Daphnia pulex: one gene and its partner. The protein of the gene in region 1 purifies or fractionates together with the protein of each later gene. This does not show direct contact. Links are inferred from orthologs where the notes say so. Each region holds a gene or a part of one and is shown on either strand. Other genes may lie near its edges.

Region 1 (4,378 bases):
ATATTTACTGGCGACTCTTGGAAATCAAGTTTTTTACTTTGTTGATCGATTAATTTACAGTTTAAGAATATGCTTGCCCTACGTGGAACATTGAATGGCGCCCTAGTGAAGTCCTTAGGGATTAACAGCAGTGTCTCAGTACCGTCGAGTTTGTCCATGACTTCTATCGTACTGAAACGGAATCAGAGCACCGTTCCCCAATCTGGAACTGAAGGAAATGGTAATTTTCCTTCCATTTTAGGCATTTGAGATCACTTCTTACTACCAACATCTTATCTTTGAATATTCTTAGCTGCCCTGGATAAAAAGAGACCATACTCTCCATTTCAAAACACCAACAATATGGCAGAGTATGCAGTTGCCCGGCTTGATGATCTTCTCAATTGGGGAAGAAAGGTAAAAATTAAAGATTATGTGAAGTTAATCATTAAGGATTAGCTGGAAAAATTTTAATATTCAACTTTCGCTCTCAGGGATCTTTATGGCCTCTGACCTTTGGGCTTGCCTGCTGTGCTGTAGAAATGATGCACATTGCAGCTCCGCGATATGACATGGATCGGTATGGTGTGGTATTTCGTGCTTCTCCGCGTCAGGCTGATGTCATAATTGTAGCTGGTACACTTACCAACAAAATGGCTCCTGCTTTACGTAAAGTTTACGATCAGATGCCCGAACCTCGTTGGGTAACCGGAACACTTTCTCACAGATATTAGGCATCATGAATTTATTTATTTATCTCCAGGTAATTTCTATGGGAAGCTGCGCTAATGGTGGTGGCTACTACCATTATTCGTATTCTGTTGTGCGTGGTTGCGACAGGATTATCCCAGTTGACATCTACGTCCCTGGCTGCCCTCCTACTGCCGAAGCGCTGATGTACGGCATCCTTCAGTTACAGAAAAAAGTAAAACGGATGAAGACTATTCAGATGTGGTACAGAAAATAAGCAAATGTGTCATAAGCTTCTGAAATTGTAAAGTTGTATCAACAAGAGTGGTGGAAATAAACCTAGAGGTTATATTAGAAACACATGTATTGGTTCAACCACTTATTAGAAAACTAAACGTTTCGCTAATGAACCTCCCTCCCCGTTGTCCGTCACTTTACGTTTTGTTCCGCTTTTGTCGACTGCTGCTTGACTTAGAGATGCAGGTAGAGGTAGAGATGATCCTGGAGCTGGAGCTGGTTTATTGCTGTTAAGGAAGAAACTTAGAATTTTATATCTAAAAATTAATCAAAATACATACCTGAAATACGGCATTTGCAAAGCTTCGCTACAAGTACACCTGTCTAAAGGATGCAATGCCAAAAAACGACTCAAAAGCTGCAGCAAATCATCTCCGGCGGCGGTGAAAATATGCCGCATTGGAATCACGGGGAAAGCCTTAAACTGAACAAAATCTGGTAGCGAAAGCAGTCCCTAATCAAGGAAATATGACTAGAGTTTAAAGGTGGGAGACGGTTGAGTTCAAAATTGTTTTATGTACTTACTGGCCAATTCTCTTCGTTTGGAGTGCCCAAAGTTGTAAAAATACGTGTAAGTTGATCTAAGTCAGATTCTCCAGGTAAAAAGGGGAGTCGAAGCAAAAGTTCAGCCATTATGCAACCTACTGCCCATACATCAACACCGGTACCGTACATTCGAGCACCAAACAACAGTTCTGGACACCTAGTTTCAGGTGTGATCAATTTTAATTTCAGCTGAATATTTATGTTGCATTTCTTCAAATTACCTATACCACCTCGTCACAACCTGGTGAGTGTAGATACGAGTGGGTGATGCAAACGATTTTGCCAAACCAAAATCACCAAGTTTCAGTATTCCTTGACGATCAACAAGAAGATTGTTAGGTTTCAGATCCTAAAATGGTAGTTGAAAAAAAAAGAATGTGCATACTTCTGTCATAATGTACAGGGGAAAAATATATATTATTATTATTACTCTGTGAAGAATAAATAGAAGATGGAGATATTCAAGTCCTTGAAGTGTCATAAGAATGTAAGCTTTAATGTGTGCTGGAGTGAGAATGATGGTTGTGTCCTTGATTATTTGCTCCAAATCAGTATCCATAAAGTCAAACACCAGAGATACATTAGAACGGTGACCAAAGACATCAAGTAAACCAATTATATGGTCATGCTTGAGTTCTTGGAGTAACTTGATTTCTCTCAAAGCTGTTCGATTGATTCCATCTCTAGCCTCTTCTCGTGAACCCAGTTTAATCTTGAACAGAAATAGTGTTAGTATTTTATAAACGAACCGGAAACGCTGAAATGAAAACACATTTTTTAAACCTTTTTAACGGCAACTATTTTGTTATCGTTTAGAGTATCTTTCGCCTTGTAGACTGTCGCAAACTAAATTACAAAATAAAACAGTTGAACATACACAAAAGACAGTGCCAATCAAAACCTTACCTGTCCTTCTCCCAAAAATTCAATCTTTTCATATCGCTGAAGTCTAGGTTCTCTTTCTCCACTCACGTGCATTTTTCATTCATACACTCAAAGTTTCTTTCAACTTTTAATCACCCGTCAAGAACGATTATTTTAAAATGGAATTTCACTCGTCAACAGGTGGCGTGAAAAACTATTGTTTATCTTTCTATTACCACCGCTAGATCGATCTGTTCTACAAAATGTTTCGGATTTTGACATCTCAAACCTGCTTCAGTTCTATTTCACATGTGCTTTATCACTAAAAATCTGAAACTTCTAAAATTCACGGCGAATAAAATGGGAATTGCAGATACGTAGTAAAAATGCCGAGTAATAAAAAAGGTTCTGAAAATGATGAACCCCAAATATAGACAGGCTGACCATGGTGAGTTCGAGTTGACTCCTAGAAAAATTCCCTCGCAGAATGTTGTAATTCGACTGATTCGTCGAGAGACTCATGTCAAACCCGGAAACTATCACATTTGCCGATCATTTTATCAAAGTGTTGTCCCAAATTTTACAATTGTCAACATAGAAAAGCCACCATGCTATTTGAGAAAATTTACACCCAACGGCAAGTACTTTATTGCATTCTCTTCAGATCAAACTTCAGTGGAAGTTTACAAATATCTTGGACCAAGTGCAGTAGAAGATTTACTTACAGATGTTCCAGGAACGAGAGAGTTTGTTGGAAATGATACCAATGAAGCTGTAAATTTAAGAAGTAAAGTATTTTCTAAATTCTTCCAGTTAAAGCATACTATTGCTGTAACTCCTGTTGGTGAACAACTAAATCGCGAATGCAGTCTCTTTGTCGGTGACGGAAGATTTGTTATTGTCGGTTCAGCCTCGTACGTTCCCGAAGAGCCCCAGCCAAATTTTTTTGATATTTTCCGTAATAATGAATCCGTATCTCCTCATCCTCGTTCTCCACTAGAAGATTGCTCACTTCACATCGTTGACATCGTCAATGGAAGGCTCTGTGATACTAGAACAATGAAGACCGACAAAATCTTTCTCTCACACAACCAAGGACTTTACTTGTATGAAGACACTCTAGCAGTTCTCTCTGTCCAGCATCAAACGATACACATTTTTAAAATTTCACACGATGGCTATTTTGCTGATGTAAAAACTATAGGTCGATTTTGTTTCGACGATGACGAATGGTTAATCAATCAAGTACGGGGACTTTGGCCTTCGGGTCAGTTGGTTCGTCCGTTTCGAGAGGCAACTGTCAACGCGCTCAAGCATCGTTTACTAGTGTTTCTCTACCGACGAGCAATCAACATGGCTGAAGCCGAAGGGAATCTCTTTCACGTACGAAAGTTCTATCAGAACTTTGATCACATTCGCGCACTCCGAATCTGGAAAATGCAGTTGTTGGATGAGTCACATTTGCTTCTGAAATATGCTAGTGAAGATGTGGTTACACTACGAGCTCCAGACCCAAATACGCAACCGGCCTTCTTTGTCGTTTACAATATGGAAAACGCACAGGTATCTTGATTATAATTAAAAGAAAAAAACTTAATCCCACGTATTATTGTTTTACAGGTTATTAACGTCTATGAAAACACAAGTCAGGAACTACTGAACTTGTTCGAGAACTTTTGCGATTTACTACGCAACGCAACACAAGGATCACCGTCCAGCAACGTATTTGCAAACGTCATTCATCAACGATTCAAGCAGACCATTGTCAGCGCTCGCTTTGGTGGGCAGACGGAAGCCACAAAACGACTTCTTTCACAACTTCCCATTTCAGCACAATCCTATTCCTCTTCGCCTTACCTTGATTTGCAGCTGTTTTCCTATGACGATAAATGGGTTTCGCTCATGGAGCGTCCAAAGACTAGTGGAGAGCACCCCATTCGTTTCTACGTCCGTGAATCTGGACTGCTGCGGTTTCGCATTTATGCTGGTATTCTTGGCCGGC
Region 2 (3,996 bases), on another chromosome or scaffold:
ATATCATGAAAACTCGTCTTGTCAAAAAGGTGTGACGTCTTCACATTCTCAAAGCCAGCCATATCATTAAACCTTTTGTTCCTTTGACCAAACCATCTACAGGTACAAGAAGCAGTCTTATCCAAGTGGGTAAACGACGCTCATCGAATGGACAAACGCATGCTGTCACTCATCTTCCTGGCTCACGCCTCTGACGTGTTAGAGAATGCCTTTGCCCCATTAAACGACGACGACTACGAGCTGGCCATGAAACGGGTTCGTGAACTCCTCTACCTTGACTTGGACAACGAGAGTGCAAAACCTGGAACCAATGAGTTGATGTGGGCTGTTTTTGCTTCCTTTACCAAATGATAACGTTATTATTGTTACTAATATTGTATTGCTATCCCTTTCGTACACTCCTATCCCTTCCCATATCATTTATTTTTCTTATTTTCTTTGCCTATCCCCTTTCTTTTGATCCTTATTTAGTTTCTTTCTTTTTTTGTTCCGCGTCTCCATTATTTTTCCCGTTTTTTAAGCTACTGGCCATCGAAAAAAATAACCCTACCTTTGTATACCTACATAGCTGCAGCCAGGCTAGATTTTCCAATTCATTCCTTCTTTCAAACCATTTTTCAGTTATTACTAGCCCCTCCTTCTTTTTTTAACAATATTTAGAATATCCTACGAGTGTTATTAATTTTCTCCATTTTGAGTGTGCGTTGGGAAGCCTCGATTTATCTAAAAATCATTTCCAAAATTACCGATCACGCTCACAGTGCACTTGTTTCCTCTTTAATTCAAGTTTTCTTTAAATGGTGAAAGGGAAAATATTCATTTAACGAAACCACTATTATTATTATATAGCGAACTCTCATGATTTAACGTGGGTTGAAACGTGGAGGAAAGTGGGCAGAGGAGAGAGACGTTTTTGTTACAATTCTGGGGAAATCCCGTTGTGGTATGTATTGTAAATATACCTTCCATCGGGAGCGCAGCGCGCCATCTTTAAAAATACAACAATATAAATGAAATGAAAAATATGTAACCTGCAAACTGTGAAATGATTTGCGGATTGCGACCCTCAAAAATTCATTTGGATATGTGTGTTTAACAACTCCCTTTAATCGGCTAATGCTATATATTAGGTACTATATTATGTGGGAGAACGTGTATAACATGTTTTATTTCATTACTGCATGTACACACTATTGGTAGTTTGAATAAAAAAATCAGGAATTCGGATGCAACATGTGGTAGATTTTTATTGTCTTTTGTTCCTTCTTTACAGGTAAAATTCAGTGCTGCCATCTTTACGTACAGTGGTTAGCAACCGGAAGCTAGATCAAGGGAAGCGTGGTTGTTAGAAAATGTGAATTTGGGCTGCTTCCCATCTTATCACAATCTTTGGTGTGATTCCCAATGAATCAAGTAATCAACTCTGAAAATTTGGAAATGAAACATTTTCCGAACAAAAACTGACATCACGTGCGGAGATGTTAAATAACGAAGCGGCAACAGTGGTTGAGTCGTCTGCTTGAATCGGTTGGGTTGGTTGAAATGTGTTGAAAAAAGTGCACGAAAATATCAACATGCTCAATTGATGATTCTTCTTTGTATTTATGAAAGCGCCAATGGTTTGAGCAGTCAACCTTAACATTTTTCTTGATAGACATTGACAATGGATGGAAACGATCAAACGTGCCCAAAATGCAAGACAACCAAATACCGAAATCCTGCCATGATTCTCATGGTAAATGCCTGTGGTCATGCTCTTTGCGAGTCCTGCGTAGAACTTCTCTTCGCCAAAGGTACCCCATTTTACAACTTTATTTACTTTTTTGGAGGGTAGCTCTAGTATCTTTTTCTCAGGCTCTGGGGCTTGTCCGGAATGCAAGTGTGCACTCAGAAGACAAAATTTTAGAATTCAGCTCTTTGAGGATCCTGCTGTTGACAAAGAGGTTGATATCCGCAAGAGAATTCTGAAAGAGTTTAACAAACGCCAGGAGGATTTCTCCACTCTGCGAGAGTACAATGATTACCTGGAAGAGGTGGAGAATATAATTTTCAACCTGGTTTTCGATGTTGACTCTACAAACACCAACAAGATGATTGACAACTACAAGAAGGAAAACAAAGACATCACAATGAAAAACAGAAACAGGCAGAGCCAAGAAGAGATTGAGTTGGAAGAGCTATTGGAAGCTGAAAAAGCCCAGCAGTCGGAAAAGGCCAATTCGTACGTCAATGCCGAGCTGGAAGAAAAGAAGCAGAAACACAAGGCTCGAGAGAAACTTATCGATGAGCTCATGTTCTCGGACGCCGATGCCAAGTCGATCGTGGCCTCTCACGTTCAAGCAACCGCCGCACTGGCTAAGGAACAACCGAAAGCAGCAGCCCAGGCCGGTGGACCAGTTGTCAAATCGAGCAAATTCTCATCAGGAATTCAGATTGGCCTTCGTCAGAACACGAGTTCGTTCCTTCCCATTCCCAAGCAACAAGATTTGCCACTCTTCCATTACTCGGCTCCCGTTTTCGACTACAACGGGCCTTCACCTCCGGCCATCGAGGTGCTCGGCAAGTTGAAGTATTTCGCCAATATCCGAGCGGCCAATGCTACTGAAAGAGCCGGTGGCTACACTGAAGCTTTATCTTGCTGCCGGGCTCTTCAAGAGGCGATGGGGGGATTGTTTTATATCCCGCAATCGGGCCACAAGACAGCCGTAGCCGCTTCAGCCGAAGAAACCGACGACATGGAAACAGCATAAACCTTTCTCCTTTACCTACTTTTTTCAACAAAATTTGTCTGCTGGCCTCTCCTTTGAAGGACAAACATTTACCCTCTTTTGTAATTTATCCAACATAGGCAAAATTGAAATACAACCAAGAAAAGCAAGAAATTTCCAGCAAAAACTCTTCGTACGACTTAATCACGGCATGACCAACAAATCGATCGGGGAATTCTTTTTCTTTTCAAAAGGTCACTATTGTAGGGTCGTATTGGTTTTGATGCCGGAATCCATCCCTCATGACAGAAAACAACAACAACGTACGCCTGAATTTATTTGAAAAGGGGTTGTTTTTGTTTTCCAACAGTTTTAATTGCGTGTGTGGGTTGGATTTTTGTGGCATTTCATTTTTATCCTCTAAACAATCGATTGTCAAATTATTCCAAGTGGATTAAGATTTCCGTCTGGTTGAGAGAGCACAGCATTTTTGATCCATCACTCAACGAGGCCTTTGGAGATTCAAAATTCGTTTTTTTTTTTTTTTTCAAGGCTTGTTTGAAATCCGAGTTGATCCTCATTCCCCTCGGAGCCTTTAGACGCCCAAGAAGGAATCCATCAACGTGGGAAAAAATCCCCTCTCGAAGCCTAAGAAGAAAAAGTACCTTCCTTCCTATTGTTGGAAGCCTTTCTTCAATGTTGTATAGCTTTGATGGACTTTTCGTAGGGCAGTAGAGACACAATAGTCGCTCCCTACCAGAGACTTAAGTTGATCCATTCCTTCTATGTGTGTCACATTTTCGATTGGGGAGGGGGGCCATGAAGCAAGCGGCCTACCTAGCAAAGGAATTCTCTTTTCTCCCTTGGCGTTTGTTTGGGTAGGAAAAAAGAAACAATTGAAAAAAAAGGCTCCTCATTCCGCCACTGGATGCTTCTCCTGCCGGGGATCGGATAACTCACCGTCCTCCATTCCGAACCTATTATTACTCCTGCTGTTGTTTTCTTTTACAAGTTATAAACGACAATGGATAAAGATGTGTCTTTTGTAACTTGAAACTTGCTTTTCTTTTTGGCCGAGATCGTCTTTCATCGCCGTAGAGGTCCGTCTCCTAATCGAGTCGAGTCTTTTCCTTCCATATCCAGCGTGAATGTTTTTAAGTTATCGATTTACTCGCTCGTCGAACTTTCCAAGCGATGAAATCTCGCAACTTAAACTTTGTCGTGTGCATAAACGAGAAAAGAACGCAGGAAAAACCAAAAAGAAACACACATTTTCTATTTTGTTGCC

Evidence for each region.
Region 2: the proteins of cyclin-dependent kinase 7-like (region 1) and CDK-activating kinase assembly factor MAT1-like purify together in Drosophila melanogaster (affinity purification with western blotting; 3 studies listed by BioGRID, with this or other methods). This does not show direct contact. The link is inferred for Daphnia pulex from reciprocal best matches to the Drosophila melanogaster genes Cdk7 and Mat1.

Annotation. Positions count from the first base shown.
Region 1 is NC_060020.1:946,014-950,391, reverse strand, and holds cyclin-dependent kinase 7-like, read right to left. Parts: upstream 2,565-4,378; 5' UTR 2,491-2,564; coding exon 2,419-2,490; intron 2,359-2,418; coding exon 2,296-2,358; intron 2,225-2,295; coding exon 1,943-2,224; intron 1,862-1,942; coding exon 1,734-1,861; intron 1,670-1,733; coding exon 1,492-1,669; intron 1,421-1,491; coding exon 1,248-1,420; intron 1,194-1,247; coding exon 1,052-1,193; 3' UTR 1,016-1,051; downstream 1-1,015. Other genes in the region: NADH-quinone oxidoreductase subunit B 2-like, read left to right, coding at 70-220, 293-396, 474-683, 743-946; DET1 homolog, read left to right, coding at 2,791-3,939, 3,997-4,378.
Region 2 is NC_060019.1:8,785,933-8,789,928, reverse strand, and holds CDK-activating kinase assembly factor MAT1-like, read left to right. Parts: upstream 1-1,484; 5' UTR 1,485-1,663; coding exon 1,664-1,793; intron 1,794-1,854; coding exon 1,855-2,750; 3' UTR 2,751-2,882; downstream 2,883-3,996. Other genes in the region: Golgi phosphoprotein 3 homolog sauron-like, read left to right, coding at 1-29, 103-351.